2 linked regions of the Bombyx mori genome follow. The protein of the gene in region 1 binds, or shares a complex with, the protein of each later gene. Links are inferred from orthologs where the notes say so. Each region holds a gene or a part of one and is shown on either strand. Other genes may lie near its edges.

Evidence for each region.
Region 2: protein bicaudal D (region 1) and lissencephaly-1 homolog share a complex: the UniProt entries of both Caenorhabditis elegans proteins name them as parts of the dynein-regulating complex. The link is inferred for Bombyx mori from reciprocal best matches to the Caenorhabditis elegans genes bicd-1 and lis-1.

What each region holds. Positions count from the first base shown.
Region 1 is NC_085125.1:2,125,327-2,137,171, reverse strand, and holds part of protein bicaudal D, read right to left. Parts: intron 8,938-11,845; coding exon 8,713-8,937; intron 7,478-8,712; coding exon 7,240-7,477; intron 6,102-7,239; coding exon 5,938-6,101; intron 4,927-5,937; coding exon 4,780-4,926; intron 4,290-4,779; coding exon 4,052-4,289; intron 3,259-4,051; coding exon 3,127-3,258; intron 1,827-3,126; coding exon 1,641-1,826; intron 719-1,640; exon of another isoform or gene 101-718; intron 1-100. UniProt on the Caenorhabditis elegans protein: Part of a complex with dlc-1 and egal-1, which is recruited to the nuclear envelope by unc-83, where in turn, it recruits dynein to the nuclear surface and regulates nuclear migration in hypodermal precursor cells.
Region 2 is NC_085114.1:11,230,872-11,242,716, reverse strand, and holds part of lissencephaly-1 homolog, read right to left. Parts: intron 4,998-11,845; coding exon 4,844-4,997; intron 3,872-4,843; coding exon 3,725-3,871; intron 1,308-3,724; coding exon 1,151-1,307; intron 1-1,150. UniProt on the Caenorhabditis elegans protein: Positively regulates the activity of the minus-end directed microtubule motor protein dynein. May enhance dynein-mediated microtubule sliding by targeting dynein to the microtubule plus end.

The sequences.
Region 1 (11,845 bases):
TGAAGCTAATAAAAGCGTATTAAAAATCTAAATACACTATATAGTTATAGTTCGTTAACTACAGCGTGATACGTTTGACAGATGGTTTGTTATATCAAACCTATTTCCTAATGACGTCCCGCCGACAACTGTCCCGGGCGCCACGCCGCATCTGACGGACTATACTTCGCGGGACGAGCTCGGGATCACAGAATGTATTGCAGCACGTAAACGCACGTCAGTACAGTCGATTTCACAAATGCTTTCAAGTTGTACGATTTAGGATCGCTTTTCTTAATATCGATCTCATCGTCTAAAGATGCTCTCTTGTACAATTTATCTTTCCATATCGAGTACAAACTGAGATTTTTATTTCGATATTGAGATAAATTTGGATTCGAGATTTGCGACTTCGCTATGGGAAACTGTTTTCTTTTGCCATTAAATTTAGTATCGTATTTTTTGGCATTATATTGTGCGAAGCAATTATTCGAATGCTTCAAACTAGAATCGATTTTGTAGTTCGCACGTTTCAACGCTGTATCGATATAATTTCTGTTCGATTGGAGACCGGTGATATTTTCAAAATAATCGGTAAGCTCTTTAACGTTCCTTCCGTTACAGATTAATTGAGTTACGTTTGTATTACTTTTTTTTCTTTCGTCAGCCATTTTTATTTTTATGTTGGCAATATCTTTTGCTTTTTTTGAACGATTTTCACAAATCGAAGCTACGGGACCTGTCGATATTTTTTTTATTGCTTAGATGGGTGGACGAGCTCACAGCCTACCTGGCGTTAAGTAGTTACTGGAGCCCATAGACATCTACAACGTAAATGCGCCACCCACCTTGAGGTATAAGTTCTAAGGTCTCAGTATAGTTACAACAGCTGTCCACCCTTCAAACCAAAACGCATTACTGTTTCACGGCAGGAATAGGCAGGGTGGTTGTACCTACCCGTGCGGACTCACAAGAGGTCCTACCACCGGTAAGATTATTAACCCATACACTGCCATGTAGGTCACCGGTGTCCTACGCGGCGTACTCAAGTGATTATGTCGATTTCTGTTACTTAGCGCCTAGATTGCTTAACTTTGCCTTCTTTTGTTTGATAATGTATGTTTTAGTCTTTTAGGTATCTTAGAAATAGATTCATTGTCAGTATCTTCGGATTCGTCTTTCCTAGTCTACTGAATATACGTAAGAAAAACAAAGAGAAATCGACATAGTTGCTTCAGTGTGCCACGTAGGGCATCGGTGACCTACACGGCAGTCAACGTGTTAAGAGCAAAGTTTTGTTTTATTGCCCTTGTAGGCAGACGTGCACACGGCCCACCTAATGGTGAGTGGTTACCGTCGCCCATGGACTTCAGCGATGCCAGGGGCAGAGCCAAGCCGCTGCCTACCGCTTAATACTCTCCACAAGCCTCATTTGAAGAAGGACATGTCATAACGCTCGGGAAACACCGTGGAGGGGAGTTCATTCCATAGCCGAATGGTACGTGGCAAAAAATACCTCTGGAAACGCACTGTGGATGACCGCAGTGGCTCCAGGTAGTATGGATGGACCCTACTCCGGTGGCGGGCGGTGCGATGGTAAAAACAAGAAGACGCATGTAAGGTGCGTGGTTGGACACCCCGGGGCGGGGGTGGGTACTGACTGCGCGGCTGGCGGCTCCTGGCGCCGAGCGCGGTGTCGAGTGCGGCGCGCAGGTGGTCGAGCTGGTCCAGCAGGGTGTCGGCGGCGCGGGCCACGGAGCCGGCCGCGCGCAGCCCCTCCAGCGGCCCCTCCGCCAGCGACAGCGCCTCCGCCTCCGCCTCCGTCACGCCGGACTTGGCCTCGCGACCTGCACACCAACCAACATGCCTATGTAAATATTGTTGCTCAAACAGTTAACTGTTATCGCATTAAAACTGTATAATCTCAAAATTTACTAATTGTACAAGAGAGTGTTTTAAAGGTTTAACATGTAACATTTTTAATATTAATCCCCTTTGCAACTTTTATTTTTAATTTTTTACCAGTTACATTATCTGTCTTTTACAGTAAGATAAAATTATGTATTAATTTTGTTAATACTAGTCAAAGCATAGGTAAACTAAAAAAAAAAACTAAAGTACGCTCTCTTGACAATATTTATGAGAAAAATACTGGGGATACCAAATCGATGCCTTCAATGAACACTACTCTAACTCCAAATTCGTAAGTTTACAAGAGGAGAGTTTAAACGAAAAAAGTTGATAAATATATCTGCAATAATAAAGATTTTATGGTTTTTTCTTGTGTAACTAGTTGATTTACTCTTGCTTCGAACCCCATTAATAATGAATTTCTAATACTTTTAAAATAGTGAAACGATCTGCGTGAAAAACGAGAATTTCCAAATTTTGAGTTAGAGTAGTGTTCATTGGAGGCATCGAAATGATTCCGCATATTAACATAATTTGGAATATTTTAGGAAATTGTGCACTTTAATGCGAAAAGACGATATATAATATTTTCACGTCAACTTGAGCAAACAAAGTCCATGACGTCATATGTGGTTATTCTTCGAATATATCATGCATAAATAATGCATGATATATTCGAATGCATAAATATGTGACTCGCACATCCCTCTTCCCCTAAAAGGGAAGATATATAAGACCTTAATAAGGCCTGCCGTCTTGTATGGATCAGCTTGTTGGACAACGAAAGTGGCGGATGAAAGGCGATTGCATGCAGCAGAGATGCGAATGTTGCGATGGATGTGTGGAGTAACGAGAATGGATAGAATACGGAATGAATATGTTAGAGGAAGTCTGAAAGTGGCACCTGTGATAGAGAAGCTGAGGAGTGCACGTTTGGGATGGTATGGACATGTGATGAGACGAAATGAAAATGAGGTTGTTAAGAGAGTGTTAACTATGAATGTGGAAGGATTTAGAGGAAGAGGTAGACCTAAGAAGAAATGGATGGATTGTGTGAAAGACGATATGGGTAGGAGGGGAGTGAGCGAAGAAATGGTATATGATCGAAGAGTATGGAAGGAGAAAACATGTTGCGCCGACCCCAGGTGACTGGGAAAAGGGCAGGATAATGATGATGAAATGATGAAATAACATTGGTCATGTCTGTTGGCAACAAGTGACGTCACGCGCACTGACCGTCTGCGTGCTCGAGCAGCAGGCGCTCCGGCTGGGTGCCGTTGACGGCGCACACGTGGTGGTAGATCTGCGCGAGGGACTCCGCCGCCGACTGCAGCGCGGGCGCCGCCGTGGACAGCGCGCGGCCCGCTCCTGCAACGGGCAAAAAAACATTTGTCCAAATCACACGCGGTAGAAGTGAAAGCTTTAAAAATTAAAATACAACTATCCTAAATGTCTAAGTATGTATATGTAAAATTTTGTCATTAGTAAATAATAATTATAAATCATCTTTTATAGTATGAGGTAGCGCTTTCTGTGAACTGATATTTTAACTTCACGTAGAATCCTAAATTAATATTCACTACAAGAGGTTTCATACACACGTTAGTATTAAAAAATCTCATAGATGGCGCTGTATTAAAAAAAACACTACACTGAGAACATCTAATGTGTTCTATCTCATTCTCTCGCCGACTGAATCCTATACATTTATGTGTTTGTGTCTCTATGGACTTATTTTTTCGTTTCATCGAGTTTGAAATCACAACGATTCTAAAGAAGTTTCACTTCAACAATGCTGATACTGTGCTCCTACACAGCCGGGGGGGCTGGCCTCAGAACAGCTCCAGAGTCAATCGGCTTCGATATACAATATTATTTAGAAGGAGTTTACGGTTCACCTGCTGTTAAATGGTTACTAAAGCCCATAGACATCTACAATGTAACCGCCGTCACACACCTCGAGACACGAGTTCTAAGATCTCAGTATAGTTACAACGGCTGCCCCACCCTTCAAACCGAAACGCATTACTGCTTCACGGCAGAAATAGGCAGGGTACCAGTAATCGAATTGAAGTTGATTGTAGATGTGACGTCAGAATTGGATTTAATCGTTCTGTTGCAGAATCTAGACCGCGTCCCTGGGTTCTCTGGGTGTATTCACCTCCAGCGAGGGTCCGGAGCAGGTCGGTTTCGGCGGTGAGGTGCTGCGCCCTGAGCTCGGCCTCCGCCACCCGGTCGGCGAGCTCTGCCAGCGCGTGCCTCTGCAGGGCGGCGCCCGACTCCGTGGGGGCGGCGGCCGCCAGCAGCTCGGACAGCGAACTGCACAGGGACTCCAGCTCGCCGCCAGACACGCGCCACCACGACAACCACGCGCCGGCGCGACTCTTGCCGTCCTCCTCCTGGAAAATCAACACATTTCATTAACGTTTGTCAGTTTTTGATTAGTATATTTTTTAGCCCCAATCATAATTTTAAATAAATTTTATGTTTATAATGATCGTGTAATATATTAGATGTGATTACAATTTCAATTGTTTATTTGAAAAGTTATTTTTTATTATATTTTGGTTTGACACAGTTTCTGCATTAGCCAGCGTCAAGTAATAAGATTTTTATGTTTCGTCTTTTTATTTATTTTCAGTTTAGAATAATAAAAAACTGAAAATAAATCAAACGAGATGTGATGATTTGTGCACTTTCACAGATACTAAACAGTTAATAAACCACCATTATTACACATTTAAACCTGAAGAAACACTAAATAAACAAAATAAAATAATTCACACAACTTCGTTCCCGCCAAAAAGTCCCATTTGAAAAGGTTGAGAATTGTGATATATTCGAGCGTGTGCTCCTAGTGTATGTATAGCAGTAAGGGCGTGGTGTTACCGCGGGCGGCGCGCAGTCGCGGTGCAGCTTGACGAGCGCGTGCGTGCGGGCGAGCGCGCGCGTGGCGCCCGTGCGGAGCGCCTCGGCCGCCGCGCCCGCCGCCTCCGCCGCCGCCTGCGCCGCGCGGGACGCCGCCGACACCTGGCTCTGCGAACACACCACACCGCTCATCACTATTCTGACCATTTATACTATTCAAAGAAAACTGTCAAATCTACTTTTGAAGGTAGTCGTTAAATAACAAAAATGACGTCATCGCCATTAATGTGCAAAATAAATAGCAAATTCTCTTCGTTCTTCTCTGTACCTATTTTTTATATTAATTACTACGCCATTATTACTATCATTCTCAATACAATGTATCCATGAGGATTACTGAGTCAGTATTCGCCACTAATTTTCTAAAATTAGGTAATAAATAAATAAAAAGTTATTTAATACGACCAACTAAATAGTTTGACAGCCACACGTTTGACGTCATCATCGACCGTGCTCTCTCTGTCTTGCGTGAAATTGAAGCGCATATCAGTCTTTTTAATTTTAAATTTTATTTGTAAATGATGGTAATTATTTAACCCCTTCAATACAATATTAATGTAATACAGGCTACTTGTATCGTAGGTGTCAATCTAGAATTGAATGAGCCAGCAATGTATTGCACACGGCCGCTGTACATTGCTCTTTATAGTTTAAGAATAAATCATTAATAGTTCAAAAAAACTAACAAAATACGCTTGTATAAAAAATCCAACTAAAAAATATAAAATAAATTTTAATAAATTTGAATTAAAAATATAGTGTAAGAAAAAATGATTTTATTATAAGAAAAGTGTGGGGTGCGTGGTATAGTAGTTACGCGTTACCCCACGATTTTTTACAATTTTTAATTTAAATTTATTAAAATTTATTTACTATTTTTTAGTTAGATTTTCTATAAAAGCGTATATTGTTAGTTTTTTTAAACTATTATTTATTTTTTAGTTGAATTTAATTTTTTTTTGAATTGAATTATCATCGATCCTTAATAAGTATACCAAATTTCGAGTTAATCCGGCGTTTTGAAGGGGGTCAAAATCATGTTCATAGATTCCGTTACAAACATATTATTATAATACATACGTCTGAAGTTAATAAAAGCGTATTCATAAAACGACATACGTTTTCGCTGTGGGCTTGTTCTAATTGTTTTTCGAGTCGCGATATTTCGTGCAGATGCACTTCCGAGAATAAGTCGGCGTGGTGGTCCGCCATGGCGGTGGCCAGCTCCGCCGAGGATGAGCCGCCGGGCTCGCTCTCGTCCTCCGTGCCGTCCTCGGGCATACCTGCCAACAGCAAGAGCAGCTATATTGCTTAGATGGGTGGACGAGCTCACAGCCCACCTGGTGTTAAGTGGTTATTGGAGCCCATGAACATCCACAACGTAAATGCGCTACCCACCCTGAGACATAAGTTTCAAGATCCCAACACAGTTACAACGGCTGCCCCACCCTTCAAACCGAAACGCATTACTGCTTCACAGCGGAAACGGGCAGGGCGGTGGTACCTACGGCGCGGACTCACAAGAGGTCCTACCACCAGTAATTACGCAAATTATAATATATATTCATAACTGAGTCACATCAATGCCGCAAGCTTCCCTCGGCTTCAGCTCTAATGGTAGAGCCCGGTATAACTCTTTATGCAACAAACAGTTTGGATTTCGTCGTGGCCTAAAGGATAAGACGTCCGGTGCATTCGTGTTGAGCGATGCACCGGTGTTCGAATCTCAGACGGGTACCAATTTTTCTAATGAAATACGTACTCGACAAATGTTCACGATTGACTTCCACGGTGAAGGAGTAACGTCGTGTAATAAAAATCAAACCCGCAAAATTATAATCCGCTTGGGTAGGTACCACCGCCCTGCCTATTTCTGCCGTGAAGCAGTAATGCGTTTCGGTTTGTAACTATATTGAGACCTTAGAACTGATATCTCAAGGTGGGTGGCGCATTTACGTCGTAGATGTCTATGAGATCCAGTAACCACTTAAAACCAGGTGGGTTGTGAGATCGTCCACCCATCTAAGCAACAAAATTAAAATAGAATTATCGTAAATGTCTAAGTACATATAAAATTTTGTCATTAGTAAATAATTGTAAATCATTTTTTATAGTATGAGGTAGCGCCCTCTGTGAATTGATATTTTAACTTCACGTATAATCCTAAATTAAGATTCACTACAAGAGGTTTCATACACACGTTAGTATTAAAAAATCTCATAGATGGCGCTGTATTAAAAAAAACACTACACTGAGAACGTCTAATGTGTTCTATCTCATTCTCTCGCCGGCTGAATCCTATACATTTACGTGTTTGTGTCTCTATGGACTTACTTTTTCGTTTCATCGAGTTTGAAATCACAACGATTCTAAAGAAGTTTCACTTTAAAAAAACAACATCTATTGTTGTTGTCTTCTTACCTCGGATAGTGTAGGCGAGGTTCGTAATGTTGTACGCCGCCTCCTTGCTGAGGTGCGCGTCCAGCTCCTTCTTGGCGGCGAACTTGGCTTCCCTCTCAGCCTGCAGCGCCTCCAGCGCCTCGGCCAGCTGCCGCTCGGCGATGCGCCGCAGGGCCGCCGTCTCCTCGGCGGTCGCGCGGGCCGCCTCCGCCTCCTCGCGGAGTTGACGAGCTTCATATTTCAATCCTTCGAATTCCACCTGGTGCAATCAGATAACACGATAAAGTGATAACTTTTTCTGTATTAACGCATACGGATTGAGGTGCGAGGATGCTTGGCTAGTGAAACCCAGCCCACTGAGTTACTAGCCGGATCTTCTCAGTGGGTCGCGTTTCCGATCCGGTGGTAGATTCTGCGAAGCACTGCTCCTGCTAGGGTCAGTGTTAGCATCACTCCGGTTTGAGCCCCGTGAGCTCACCTACTAGTTAAGGTTACGCTGAAATAGCCTCTCAAGGCTATCAGCTTAGGTAGGAAGCCGCGAATTAGCGAACCGCGTCCCTCCCCCCAAACTCCAAGTACAGATTTGATATTTTCCACTCGTCAGAAACAGGACCAGGTAGTAATCAAAATAATTAACAAGCCATATGTAGTAGCATTCCCGATTTTGGATTTTCTTGGGGGTTCCGGAAACCTTTATATACGAAACAAGAACACCACTACTGAATATATTATTTACGAGGTTGAAGAAGCCGCTTGACCAACGAAGCGATCAAATACGCTCGGACTTGCGGACATAAAGTTGTAGTATCGAGTGCAACATCTAACGAAAGCAGCATCGGGATACATTGAAGTGTGTATACTTATATATTATAGCATAGTATTAGCATAGCATTTAGTATATAACATAATTAATAGGTGTAATCTCGTATGTCACCCTAATAATGCGGACCACCCAGAAACATAGGCTTCTTCATAATTGTAAACTAGGATTAAGATGATTATTAAGCACTAGCGGCCCACTCCAGCTCCGCTCGCGTCTTTAACAAAAATTTCAACGATATTTGACGTTGTTTTTTTTTAAATAAAAGAACACATATTGCGGTATAGCTATAATAGTTAGACATATGATGTTGCGACACTTTTTGTAAATAATAATGTGTTCTACAAAGCCGTAGTACATTATTTTATTCTATCATCAATAGTTTTCGCAGGGCATGGGATGTAAAGAATATTTTAGGTAATTTTTTTACACCTTGGGTTACATTATTGGAGTTTTAGTAAGGATCCCTAATATTTTTCAAAAAAGATTTTAGCCGTTATTTCACTCGGGAATAGTGTAGCTTCCAAACAGTGGAAGAATTTTTCAAATCGGTTCAGTAGTTTCGGAGCCTATTCAATACAAACAAACAAATCTTTCCTCTTTATAATATTAGTATAGAAGTATAGATGGAATACAACATTACAACGTGTCGCCGTCGTGTGCCGAGTACTGACCTGCGACGACCTCAGTGCTGAGACTTGCTTCTGTAGCGAGATGTTCTCATCCTCCAGGTCGGTGATGTCGCTGAGCTGCCGCTGCTCTCGCCGCCGCGCCTCCCGCAGCTCGGCTCTTAGGGCGGCGCGTTCGGACTCGCGCGTCGCTTTGTCGGCGCCAAGCTCCGAACTTTCCGTCAGGAGACGGTCGCGTTCACTCACCACTCGGTCCAGCTCGTGGCGGAGCTGCGGCAGTTAATAGATAAATTAACAAAACAAAATCTAGATCGTAGGAAGAAAAATAATCTTTATTTCTAATTGATAAAGTCATCTAATTGATAATATTTATTTAAAGAATCTTTATTTCTAATTGATAGTCATCTAATTGATAATATTTATTTATATATATTTTTATATGTATATATTTATGTATATGTATTTATTTAAGTACGAGTATTTGTATCTATAAATAGTATATACACATATGCTTAAGTAATATCATTATCACACTACACCTACCAAGGTTCATCTCTGCACCCCCCTAAGGTAGACCGTCAGAGAATGCCTATGGCATTAAGTCCGCCTTTAGACTGTCTAGTATATAAAGTTATAAATAAATAAATAAGTAAAAAATAAAAACCCAAGGTAATTCTTTTTTATTTTTTATTGCTTAGATGGGTGGACGATCTCACAGCCCACCTGGTGTTAAGTGGTCACTGGAGCCCATAGACATCTACAACGTAAATGCGCTACCCATCTTGAGATATAAGTTCTAAGGTCTCAGTATAGTTACAACGGCTGCCCCACCCTTCAAACCGAAACTCATTCAACACTTCACGGCGAAACAGGCAGGGTGGTGGTACCGACCCGCGCGGATTCACAAGAGGTCCTACCATCAGTAAATCAGTAGTGCATTACTCTTTTTTGGTGGCGTAGTTGAAAGAGATCCCAAATTATTATAGTTACTTTTTATCTGAGACGTGAATATTAAAAAAATACATAATGTTAAAATACCATGCTTGACAATTTAAGAATGTGTTTAAGCTTTAAGTAATCTCATGAAATTTGGTATTTTAACCCATTTGTCGTTAGAAACACGTCCAGTTGACACGAGTCAACAACCATTAGCACTGATATTGGCATTCGTGGAACAGACCTTCCCATTTTTAGTGCTTTATGAGCGTGGTATGTTTTTATTATACTATATTATAAACATTGTCAATGTGTGACTCGATAAAAGCCGCATGTTGACAACGGTATTCCCGGTATCAACGGTTATTACTTCCGTTTCAAGACCTGTGGACTGTCGATATTACTAAATAGCTACACGCGAATATTTCCAAAACAGTTCCGATCCGCTTATTGAGATAAACTTGACAAAAGAGCAGATGAGTTGCTGCACTGGTTCGTGCAAACCAACGGTCTCATTCGGCGTCTGTTTCCTAGTGCCCTCAAGAAATTACCGGTCATGGAGGACGGTCATCAGTCATCTAATTGCTCCAAATCATAAGGAAAGCTATTGAAGGGCTTTTGTTACCTACCCTGGTAACCTCGAGGGGTTATTGAACGGTGTAGGCGAGCTAACAGGGCTCATTCTGGCGAATTTGCACATCTCTAGCAAGGGCAGTGCTTCAATATACCACCTCATCGGAATCGCAACCTACTGAGAAGATCCAACGAGAAATTCAATGGGCTTTGAAAGGCGTTTTCGCTGATCCACTAAGCAGCTTAATGGCTAATACACTGAAAGGGACAGAAGTTGTGTGAAATTAGTCTTTCCACCCCTGATTTTACGGCCGGCAAGTAAATCCGCAACCAACTAAAAGAACTAGATTACAATAACCACACGCGAGGTAGGGTCGTGTCATAAAAATATCGTTTTCAAAAACGGAAAGCATTTCTCTCAATAAACACACAAATTCCATTAGCTGATTGGTTGTGTCCGTGAATTAGTGTCTGGGCGCGGCCGGACTGACGTAAAACGCAGACCAGTTGAAGGTAATAAACACGATACAGTAGTGTATTTCTAGACTTTGTATTTCAAAAAGTTATCTAAAGTTTTTGTGATTTTATTAACAAATTAGCTGTACCCGTCCGCTTCGCTAGGCATTTAAAATTAACATTATTATTTCACACCCCCTCAAAGACTCTCATCATTTACGCCCCCGCAACTGGTGTAGGGAGTCCAACACTTATATAAATATTAGCCTATCCATTAAGTACATGTATTTTCTACATGAATACCAAGTTTCAAGTCAATCGGATGCATGGTTCAGTAGTTCTAACGGAACATCCGTAAAAACCACTGTAGATTTATTATATACTATTATACTAGTATAGATGAATTAATATCGCCTAATTTTATCATTTTTACCAATTTTAGCATTTCGAATCCTTTAGAAAATTTGTCAGGAATTTATCTTGTTTAGAACCGGTTACTTGATGGTTATTTAACTAGATAATGACGGAGCTTTGCTCGATATTTTGTTGTTGTTGATAAATTGTGTTTTTTCGAATTTATATTTAAATACGAATTACATATTGATAAAATGATGAAATATGAATAATATTTTTCGATCTTAACGACAGAATAATAAAAAAATATGAACTGGTTATTTAAAGAAAAAAAATCAAAATTATCGATAAAGTTGATCATTGAAAACACGAATAAAATAACATTTTCTGAAAATAAATCGTAGCTAGATCGATTTATCGCCACCGAAATCCCCTGTACACTAAATTTTATGAAAATCGTTGGAGCCGTTTCCGAGATTCAGATTATATACAAGAATTGCTCGTTTAAAGATATAAGATAAGTATAAAAGACACCCACCTCAAGGCCGTTCATTTTAGGTACAATCAACATTTGTTTTCGTAAATTCGACTTCGAATAGTTTAGGAAATAAACGTTGAATTCACAATGGTAACGATTACCCAAAAATGTACACTGAAATATTCAACTACCCACATGAAACTAAAATTATTCGAATATGTCAAGACGTCTTTTTTTTATTTATACCTAAAATCTCTATGGTTCCTTCAAGGCTAAAAGCTATTTTTTAAAAAAAAAATTATTGTCCTTGTAGTCAGACGAGCATACGGCCCACCTGATGGTGAGTGGTTACCGTCGCCCGTGGACTTCAGCAATGCCAGG
Region 2 (11,845 bases), on another chromosome or scaffold:
GTCAGTCCAATTTCTTTCTTTTAAGGGATTTTATGACCTGGTAACTAAGACCTTTGGGTCAAACCTTATTGTAATTTTAATGAAAACTGCACTATATAAAAACTGTTAATATGAAGTGAAATGAAGTTGATTAATATAAAACAATGGCATGAAATGAAATTAAATGAGATGATATGGGATGAAATATAATCTCAGTAAAATGGTGGTCATTTACTGAGACTTTTTGGAGGATCCCAAGAAGTTTCCAGCGGCTTTGTTTTATTTTCACAAATTTGTACACCTTCATGAAAACAGTTAATAAGCCACCGTTATTACAAATTTAAACCTAAAGAAACACTGAATAGATAAAATAAAACTAATCACACAATTTCACTCCTCGCTTTTCCGCCAAAAAGTCCCTCAATTTCATTCCGATTAAAAGTTAACCTCGATTTTTTATTTATCTTAAAAGTGGGGTATATGTCCCCTATGTTACACATAAAACTAATGCAATTCAGCGAAAAATCTAACACAATAGTACAAATAATAAGGCAGCATCATATTGGGGGCGTTAGCGTTTTAACGCGGGACTCCTGTTTCTCTTTGAGACTGATCAGTGTCCTGAGTAACTCGAACTGGTACGTACTATAGGTTACCAGTAACATGTCACAACGAAAGAAAGAACGGAAACTGATATATTGATCGTGGTAGGACCGTCTCGTCGTGTGACTTGATTATGCAAAAGCCTTATAATCAAATATAGTTTTAGAAGATGTAAAGAATACGTCTTTACTCTGTGCACCTGATGGTTCACTATGCTACTGCATTATTTAGTTTAAACAGATTCGCACCGATCTTTTTACTGCCTAATTAACGGGACCAGCAGTTATTATGCAGAGAGATGAGACAGATGTTCGACTCTAAGCGCATTGCCTCTGCCTTTTGAGGTTTGGATAAAACTAATGAGTGGAGACCGCGAATTGGCAAACACAGTGCAGGACGCCTTCAGGCTCGGTGGAGTGATGATCTGTGCAGGATGGCTGGCAGCAGCTGGATGAGAGATGCTGAGGATCATGCTCAGTGACGAGCAATTGGAGAAGCTTATGTCCAGCAGTGGACTGCTATAGGCTGACGATGCTGAAACTAATGAGAATGTAATTATTATACATACCAAGTAATTTTCCATGGTGGTCGAATGCAATGTCCTGTACGGAGTCGGTGTGACCCTTCAATGTTCGTTCGTACTCGCCGCTCTCAAAGTCCCAAACTTTTATGGTTGCGTCCTCGCTCGAGGACACCATCAAGCTGAACACGGGGTGAAATATTACCTGCAATTTTGTTTTGTTCACACTATTATAACAATCACATACGTAGTTTTAAAAAAAAAAAACATTTTTTTTTATTGCTTAGATGGGTGGACGAGCTCACAGCCCATCTGGTGTTAAGTGGTTACTGGAGCCCATAGACATCTGCAACGTAAATGCGCCACCCACCTTGAGATATAAGTTCTAAGATCTTAGTATAGTTACAACGGCTGCCCAACCCTTCAAACTGAAACTCATTACTGCTTCATGGCAGAAATAGGTAGGGTGGTGGTACCTACCCGCGCGGAATCACAAGAGGTCCTACCACCAGTCTAAAAATCTAATTAAAAAATTGCAAATTTACATTAAAAACGCGTGCGTGCAATAATCAAACATGCACTCAACGGTTTCATCATTCGTATACATCATAGAAAGCGTACTAGATACGATTGTCTGGAAACGACAGGGGAAACTGACAGCAAAAAGCTAAACAATAACATCTAGTCCCTACAGCAAAACTCGTACAAGACTCGTGCTCAAAACTTTCATTACACTAGAAAGTTACAAATTTGTCTAGTCCATTAATGCAATTTCATGATATTTTTATGAAACTAAATTATAGTGTGAGATAATTTTTTAAGTTTAATATCGCGATATTTTAAGTGTTTACGTTTTTAATGTTTTAAGTAACATTTACCAAATAAAGTATTACGAAAAATGTATATAGTATTTAGCAAACAAAGCATTCCATAAGTTTAAAATCACAATAAACTTCATGAAACTGTAATAGATTGAATTTGTTTAAGACTCGTGAAAATCGGACGAAATATTGAAAAAAAGATTTAGAAATAGACTCATGTTTTAGATTAGAACTAGACTAGATTAACTAAAGATTAATGTTGAATTATAGTTTATTTATATGCATCGATGATGTACTGAGTAAGAGACCCGGCAACAACAACCCCGTCCCAAACGAAACTACTATGGCATAGGTCAAATTCTTTAGCAGGTACTTACTGTCCGTACCGTAAATACATTAATATTTTTGTTCATAAATATGTCTTTATAGTTACACGACTGAACAAGCTCATAACATACTTGGTGTTGAATGCTTAACAGACATGAACATCTTAAATGCCGCCTCCCATTTTCGGGCATTAGTTCAAAGACCCAATCCTGTAGTACCACTGTTGCCCCACCCTGTAGGGTGGAAAGCAATACTGCTTCGCGGCAGGTATAGGCGGAGTGGAGGTACCTACCTACCCATTCGGATTCACACGACGCCCTAGTACCAGAATATGTTTTCACGGACCACTTCCACAGCGAAGGAATACCATCAAATCAAATCTAAGATATTTGCATAATAACCATTGGCTAGGGCGCACGGTAAGTAGTCTTGTGTGATCCAATATGAAAATTTTATGGACAATATTTTTTTTTTATAAAATTATTTTTTAAGCATACAATACACATTATTACAAGCTAAAAGGATACACAAAAAATAACAACAAGTAAAAAAAACACTGGCTTGCAACATAAGCCATGTATGTGCGCACGTCTAGGCAAAACAAATGTGTTGAGTTTGTACACAATGGTCAATTTGTATTATTAAAAGATAATCGAGACTTCGATTTTATATTCGACGGTCTTTGTTTACTACTTAAGACCAGATAATTACTGAGCTCTTATGACAATCTACGGCCAAAGAGAGCCTCAAAAAAAGTGGTTTTTTAAACATGAACACACAAAGGCACTTCATTTCCTCTTTCATTAAAAATATTTCTGCGTTGACGTATGACTATTTTATCTTCATTAAATTATGTATTGGTTGGTTTTTTCAGATGCGACCTCAATGGTTTGAAGTAAAAGTTCAAAGGTAACTAAACCAATAATAATTACCAAGACACAACTTTCCAGTTTCTTGTTGTTCGTTTTACGTGAATTTAGAACGGACGTGCTTGTTTTGTTTGCAAATTTAATTTCACTAGAGGTCCCGCAGTAGTCGAAATTCGACTATAATTAATTGGGATTGTAAGTTTGTACACTATTATGTGTGTATTTTATACTTCGATAATCACAAATTTCGCCAAAACTACACTATAAAAATATTAACAAAAACCAAACAATATTTAATCTATTCTCAATTTGACAACATACGTCAAAAACAAAAGTTTGACAATAAATAGTATGCATGCGTGTGTGCGTCAAATACATATTATGTAGTGTGTGTAATGTTTTCTTTATTGATTTATTGTATCTTATAGGCATTATTTTAAAAAAATATTAGCATTGTGCACTTCTCTATATTCTCTATAAGTGTAGAAAATTTCATACTCCTCCGTCCGCGCAATTTTCGTAAAAAGGGATACAAAGTTTTTGCTTCACGTATTAATATATAGATTGTTAGTGTAGTTTATGTTTGTGTGCAATGTATTTATTACCTTAGTAATAGTGGCCCTGTGTCCAGTGAGACAAAACTTCTCGGGTGGACGCGGAATCCATTCTGTTGGAGTGCGCTTAGCTCGCGTTGGAGCACCCTCGATGAATTCCTTCTGAGCCTCCGACAATTTAGATTCCAGTTCCATAACCTTATACAAACATTACAACAATGTTACATATTGCGTGTGCTCGTTTATGATTTTAAAAAAAAACCTACATACTCTTCAAAGCTACGAACCGCACTGAGTTTGTATAGTCCTTAATTACTTAGAAATACTGACTGCAGCTGTATTGGAACATCTGCTTTAACTCGAATAATTTTATAGATGTTTAACATGTCCCGACAAAGGGTAATGTCTCAAGTTTTGAATCACAAAGAAACCTGTACGTAATTACAAGGATTGTATACACGGTACATTTACATTGAAATTACTTGAAAATTCTCATAAGAGTGCAACCAATTATTATTATTAATAAGTCTTCTATCGCCTTGAAACGCGTTCGAATTACTATTCGTATAGTGATAGTCGATAGGTAAGTCGTGTCAGACTAATAAGCAATTCATCGAGAGGAATGGTCGAACTCCCTGGCATCGACCGTCCGCCCTAGAAAACGTCACGACCTAGATACTGCCGACTGAGAGTTTTGCAGATCACTTCCATGTACCAGCAACCAAATATTCAGAATGAAGAAAAAAAAATTTAATTTTAAATGTCTTCTTCGTCGCTTTCTTCATTACTGAAGGTCGTGTCCCTAAACACGGTGAGCCGCAGCAGGGTGGCCAGTAACATATTTCACACCGTGTGACCTGGACTCGACATGGCGCCGGATGGTAGCCGGATCGCATACAGTCTCATTCTGTACTCGGTCCACTTTTATAGGATTACTTGGGAAAACTAGCGCAGTGGTTTGCATTCTGCGCCGCAGTGAAGTTGGTTGGGGTAGTCAGTACGCCCTGCTGCCAACGACTGACCTCCGGTGTAAAGTATCTATAGATTCGAAGTTCCCCCTCTCTCATACAGTCTGTATGTACTATGTATTAATTTTAAATGTATGTAATATCAAATAAATTATGATCATATAGACTGTTTTTTCTGTTTACGACATATATAAAGAAAAACCTTTTTCTGAAGTCTGATGACGGAGGTCCATTTCTTCTCCAAGAGGCCACCGAACTTGCGATCCATCTCGCCGGTCATGTCGGCTTCTTTCTTGAACGCTTCCAGCGCGTCATTGTAACCGTTACTGCCTAGATAATCGGCAATCGCTTTGTTCCTGTAAGAAAATAATCGATTATTTTTTTAAACTACTCAATTAAGGAGTTATTTAGTACGTTTACATTAAGCAACAATAACTTGTTCACGATCTACAAACACAACGTATGAAACGGATGTTTAGAATAAAAAACATTTGTATGACGTCAACACAAAACAATGAATGCAAAAAAGTTTTTGCCATAAAACCGACAGTAAACATCTATTAATATTGACTTATTTTGCGTTACATTAATTAATATAACTTGACTTATATAGGTAGTAACAAAAAAACATGATAATTACAAATCACCCGACCTAGAATATGTTTCTGAATATGTCAGTATTCATTCATAAGAGCACAATATTTTTGAGGAGGTACTTATTGCGTGTTTTTTTAACTAAGATAATTTGGTAGTGCAATTTTATTAAGAGACACATTAATTAGAGCATTTAATAAACCGAGCTATTAATTCTTAATCGCATCATTCATTACACTAACCCGGATCCGAGTTTCAGACGCTACGCACTAGACCTAAACAAATCGTCAATAATAAAAATTTTACGACGAATCCTGCACGCACATTTGAAAACTATAATATAAAAGGTTTATTGCTTAGATGGGTGGACGAGCTCACAGCCCACCTGGTGTTAAGTGGTTACTGGAGCCCATAGACATCTACAACGTAAATGCGCCACCCACCTTGAGATATAGTTCTAATGTCTCAGTATAGTTACACTATAGGTTAAGGTTAACTTTTATCGCCGTAAATTTTCTCTCCGGCATTTTCACAATTTCAAAAGTAAGTCAATAATTATAAATGTGTTTTATAAAACGAATGTAAATACTTGTTACGATGAGTTAACATTTTTAACTACCTAATTCTTTATTGACATATAGATGAGATCATCACCTGTGATATAAAGGACAACGTAATGCAAATATTATGAACAACTTGTTTAGTTTCGTCAAAATAAAAGCAAGGTTGCCTACCAGACGAATAAAATGTAAATAATGTGATAACAAAATCCACAAAAAAGATATTGTTTTAAATTATGAATAAATGCTAGATTAAATTGTATTAAAACAATTTATCTAAATTGACATTTTCATGCTACACTATGGGATTAAGAAGAAATTTACATAGTGTTTAGTTACTACATACAAACTTTTTTTTAACGCTGGGGCATATGTTTACGCATACCCGGTCGAAGGGGGTTACAGACCGGATTATGTCGGACTCCGGCGCCTCCAGAAAAGAAGAGGGAGAAGAGGAAGACTTGGCTACATACGAACTATAGATTTAATCTATCTTTATGTCTATTATTATATCTTCCAAGGATGTATTTGTACGATATTGTATTAGATCATTTTTAATTATTTTTTGTGACATGTTTCCAAAGCTTTTGTTTGTCGACCAAGGAAGGACATCGACACAGTGGACAAACATGTTTATTTTAGAAACCAGCCGCTACATTTACGTGGGGGCCGAGATTACGTCATTGCATTCTGCCGATACATAATTGTATATAGTCAATAATGAAATAAAAGGAGACTTGCATAATATTTGCGCTTTGAAATAGTCTGAAATGAAATAATACATAAGAGGTTGTCATTAAAAACATCGTTTAGTAATCATTTCTTAAGAACTATTCAGTTAAATACAGTGTGATTCTTTTTTTTTACATTTTCTTTTTGTAACGATGATCTCTTCGTAAATTTGGTATCGAAGTAATATTTAGTTGTTTCATTCTTAAGCAAAGTGGCGGTAGCTTTAGTATCATACAACACAAGATATTTGACAGATACCTGAATTTCGCTTACAATATTTTCAAGAGAAAATTTCCACATTATACTCGTATACAAGTTCCGAACAAAAATATTGGACCGTCGGTCTACCGAAAAATATCACCAGCTCGGTGGAAGATCTTCTCTTTGTCGTATACTCCCACAAGCAAGTTCCAATCAATTAATGTTATTATATGTGTTTTTTTTATTGCTTAGATGGGTGGCCGAGCTCACAGCCCACCTGGTGTTAAGTGGTTACTGAAGCCCATAGACATCCACAACGTAAATGCGCCACCCACCTTGAGATATAAGTTCTAAGGTCTCAAGTATAGTTAGTTACAACGGCTGTCCCACCCTTCAAGCCGAAACGCATGACTGCTTAACGGCAGAAAAAGGCGGGGCGGTGGTACCTGTTCGTACGAACTCACAAGAAGTCCTACCACCAGTGCTTACGCAAATTATAATTTTTACGGGTTTCATTTTTATTACACGATGTTATTCCTTCACCGTGGAAGTCAATCGTGAACATTTGTTGAGTACGTATTTCATTAGAAAAATTGGTACCCACCTGAGATTCGAACACCGGTGTATCGCTCAACACGAATACACCGGACGTCTTGTCCGTTAGGCCACGAAGACTTCTACGTGTCTAGTATCGTACTACGTGTTTTCACATATAGCAGTTTAGAAATTAACAGTATTATTTTGTTCATCATCATTTAATAGTGCGTGGAAAAGACAAACAAATGGTTTTAAATCAATATAATATTCTATGTGAGAATTATCTGTTCAACTAAAACTTATAATTACGAAAATATCGATACTAAAATATCCGTCGCGGTATTGGGATAGAGCGAAAGTGGTTTCGTGCGTTCGCATAGTGGCGCGGGCTGATCTGGGACCGCCTGAGAAAATAACTTTCACGGTACATTTCCTACGTTAACAGTCCAGTTATTGTACTAGGGCTGTCGACTTTAGTTGAACCCGAGTTGTTGTTGTAAGACAAACAATATGCTGCGGAGGGGGGATGATCCAACGCTCACGGTATTGACAATATAAAATAGAATGTTTCTCTCCGCATGAAAACCAAAAATAACATTCAATTAAACATATTGCAATGGGGGCTGACTATGTGAAACGCAATTAAAGCGTGAACCTCAACTTTATGACTCTGAAGCTTTTTTTTCCTACCTAAGCTGGTAGCCTTGAGAGGCTATTCCAGCGTAACCTTAACTAGTAGGTGAGCTCACGGGCCTCAAACCTGACGACGTTGCTAACACGAACCCTAGCAAGAGCCGTGCTTCGCAGAATCTACCACCGGATCGGAAACCCGACCCACTGAGAAGATCCGGCGAGAAACTCAGTGGGCTGTGTCTGAGGGTTAATTTACTCGTCGAGCCCTTCGTCGCAAGCGACGGGTTCGAAGAGAACGGTGACCGGTGCTTGAAGTACCTAAAAGCACCGTTGTGGATCGGGAGGATCCGAGATGACGTGTTTTGGGCGACGTCGACTGCTTTCCATTCTTTCCGCAGGATCGGGAATGATGACTGAAGTATCATCATGCATACGAACTGGATAATTTTGTGATGAATCTGTATTCAAGCGACGTCGGATTCAATTACAAGCATTTTTACACTATATCAATCGTTTGCAAAATTATAGATTTATTTATCATTTTAAGTTCACATTCATTTTTTATCTATAATTATGGTATAAATTGTACGATTGAATTCACCCGTTTCTTAATTATGGAAATTCCACTGCTTTTTATAATAATAAATTGCTCATGTTTTCTTGTCATTTTGTTTAATGATAAGAACCCGAAATAGTAGTAGTGACCTCACTTCGACGATTCGAAATTCCAATAGTTGTAACTTAGTTAAGATAAAAAAAATCACTATGATAATGTAATTCTTCGAAAATTTTACACTATTATCTCTTACTCGCGACCCGCCCTTGCTTCGCTTCGGAAACATTAAAACACAAATGAAACAAAAAAAAAAAAATTAAAAAAAAAAGTTGCCTATGTTCATCAGGGACAATGTCGGCTTCTAATGGAAAAAGAATTTCAAATCGGTCCAGTAGTTTCGGAGCCTATTCGAAACAAACAAACAAACAAATCTTTCCTCTTTATAATATTAGTATAGATATAGATATTAAAGCATGCACGCGTTACGCACTTTGACTAACCCTAGCATTGCCAAACTTTGTGAGCGCCGGCTGTTACTTACCAATAGTTGGAATTTAGGCTAACATGGCTTTTTTAAGTTTGTGAGCCTCTAAAATAAGATAACCTTGAAGTTGGAAGAACAGAAGCTAACGGAAGACAAACCTAACCTTGTACGGAACTCCTTAGTGTGACTGTAATTGAAATGATTATTATCTTAACTGATAAGATTGTAGCTAGTTTCCTTAGAATAAATGAAATGCCGTATTTTTTTTCTTTACGTTTTGTTAGGTACTGATAAAAAATTTGATTTAGTTCGATCAAGAGCGTTCATTATTTGAGTCGACTATTATCAAAGCCGGCAATCTGACTTTTGGATAATTATTGGTAAATCAGAAAAACGAATTATTGACTTTGTATTCCATTGGCAGTCACAAAACTCTTCGGAACGACATCTTAGATAAATAACAGGTTAACTATTAACCTTTATTTAATGCAGGTTTTGAACCGTATTCTTTGAAGGAGACGATTATATTCAAATCAATCTGTATTGACATATCAATAATTTTTTTTTGTCCAAATGCACAGATTGCCACCTTTGATAATAGACGACTCATTTATACTGCATTTTTTATTTATCTAACCTAAGAGTATTCTCATCATCTCATCATAAAACAAACTATTCTCATCATTAAAACCTGCGTTCAGACAGACTTTGGGTCATGAATGTCAATAGATAATCGTGTCAAAGTGAAATTTATTACTCAATTTTTTTTTTTTTCAATTTTTTTTTATTGCATAGCTGGGTAGACGAGCTCACAGCCCACCTGGTGTTAAGTGGTTACTGGAGCCCATAGACATCTAACGTAGACGTGCCACCCACCTTGAGATATAAGTTTTAAGGTCTCAAGTATAGTTACAACGGCTGCCCCACCCTTCAAACCGAAACGCATTACTGCTTCACGGCAGAAATAGGCAGGGCGGTGGTACCTATCCGCGCGGACTCACAAGTGATCCTACCACCAGTAAAATTATAAATATCACATTATATTAATATTTCGCAGACGTTTTTACGAATAAACATTAAAGAATTCACAAATACATTAAGCCATTGTGTGCGAAATGAAATCATAACTGATGCAAAAACACAACGAATGGTATTTATTGAATTGAATCGTAACACACGAACGGAAACAAGCACGTCATTTGAACCGATATCGACCGACAATAATGATTTAATGAGGTACGATAATGATTCTGCTAATAAAAAGAGTGCGTTGGACTTCTTTCGTCGAGAGCTAAAATAGACTAGTATAATCGGTATTCGAAAACCCATTTGGATGCTAAAAACCGATATATACGTATTATTGTATCGGTAACTAAGCAAGTATCTTTGATTTTATCATTGAGTCTTTAAGTGAAGGGTTGGGCTATCGGGTTAAATCTTTGATGATATTGTTTCAAAGTCAAAATTAAACGTAGCCAATCAAATTAAACATATTGTGTATAAAGTCAACGTATTTTTTTTTAAATACTTAGTATGTACGTTACTGCTTAGTCAATTTGATAATGTCTAAGCTAGTTTTTATTGAAACATCATTTTAAGTTCTATAGGACTTTTTCAAGTACTTTCCACTTGGAAGATTTAATAGTGGAAGGTAACAATGTTGAAACCGAATTTCTCATATTCTATTGTAATTGAAATATACGACTGCAAAAACAATGCCTATTAGAATTTCGAATTATCATCATCTTCAATGATATCGAAATATCTATTTCCTTGTTTTTTCCCAATGCTGTTAATGCGTAAATGAGCTCAGGTCCTACCATCTGACCATAAATCGTGCTCGGACTTTACGGACGTCACAACGTAAACGCCGCCATTTTAGAGATTTCAATTTCAACTCGACGACTCAGTTGAGGGTCTTGTGGTGCAGGGCATGATAGAGGGTACAGGACCGTGCGACAGATCACCGTTACGATGGACCGACCAAATAAAGGCAGCTCTAAACGATCCCGTCAACGAGTGCACAAGAAGGGGCTGCGGTACGCGAGAAATGGCTAAGTCTGGTGAAGCGCACCCGAAATGATGACTACGACCACTCTGACAAAAGTGCACACGACTGAGAAGAATTGCATATCGCCGTTTCACCCTTCAAAGCCTTGCGGCACAAATAGCATAGCAGGATGGCAATAAAGATTCGTGCTAAATTTTTTTGCTATTGCACTTATAGGTAAACGAGCATACGGCCCACCTGATGGTGAGTGGTCACTCTCGCCCATGGGCGTCAGCAATTCCAGGGGCAGAGCCAAGCCGCTGCCTACCGTAAAATACACCGGCTCACAATACGTTCTACCACTAGTAAATGGCGGTTAACGATCGCAGTTTTTTTTATTTATTGCTTAGATGGATGGACGTGCTCACAGCCCACCTGGTGTTAAGTGGTTACTGGAGCCCATGGACATCTACAACGTAAATGCGCCACCCACCTTGAGATATAAGTTCTAAGATCTCAGTATAGTTACAACGGCTGCCCCACCCTTCAAACCGAAACGCATTACTGCTTCACGGCAGAAATAGGCAGGGCGGTGGTACCTACCCATGCGGACTCACAAGAGGTCCTACCACCAGTTTATATTTAGACAAAATTGCTACTAATTCAGCAGTGGATCCTAGTATAAACATTCGGTCCACCTAGTAGCGGACCGATTTTCATGGAAAGACTTACATACGCGTGGTCGCGATCCTCAGTAATGAGAGAACGATACAGAAAAAGACGAATTCTGTGTAAGTCGATAAATGTGTTGTAAGCAATAAAAATATGTGTTTTGAAAGGTGTCTTCGGATTAAATTAAGATTAAGATATTTTCAGGTAGTTTCTTAGTAAATACTAGCAGTTCTTAGTAATTCAAA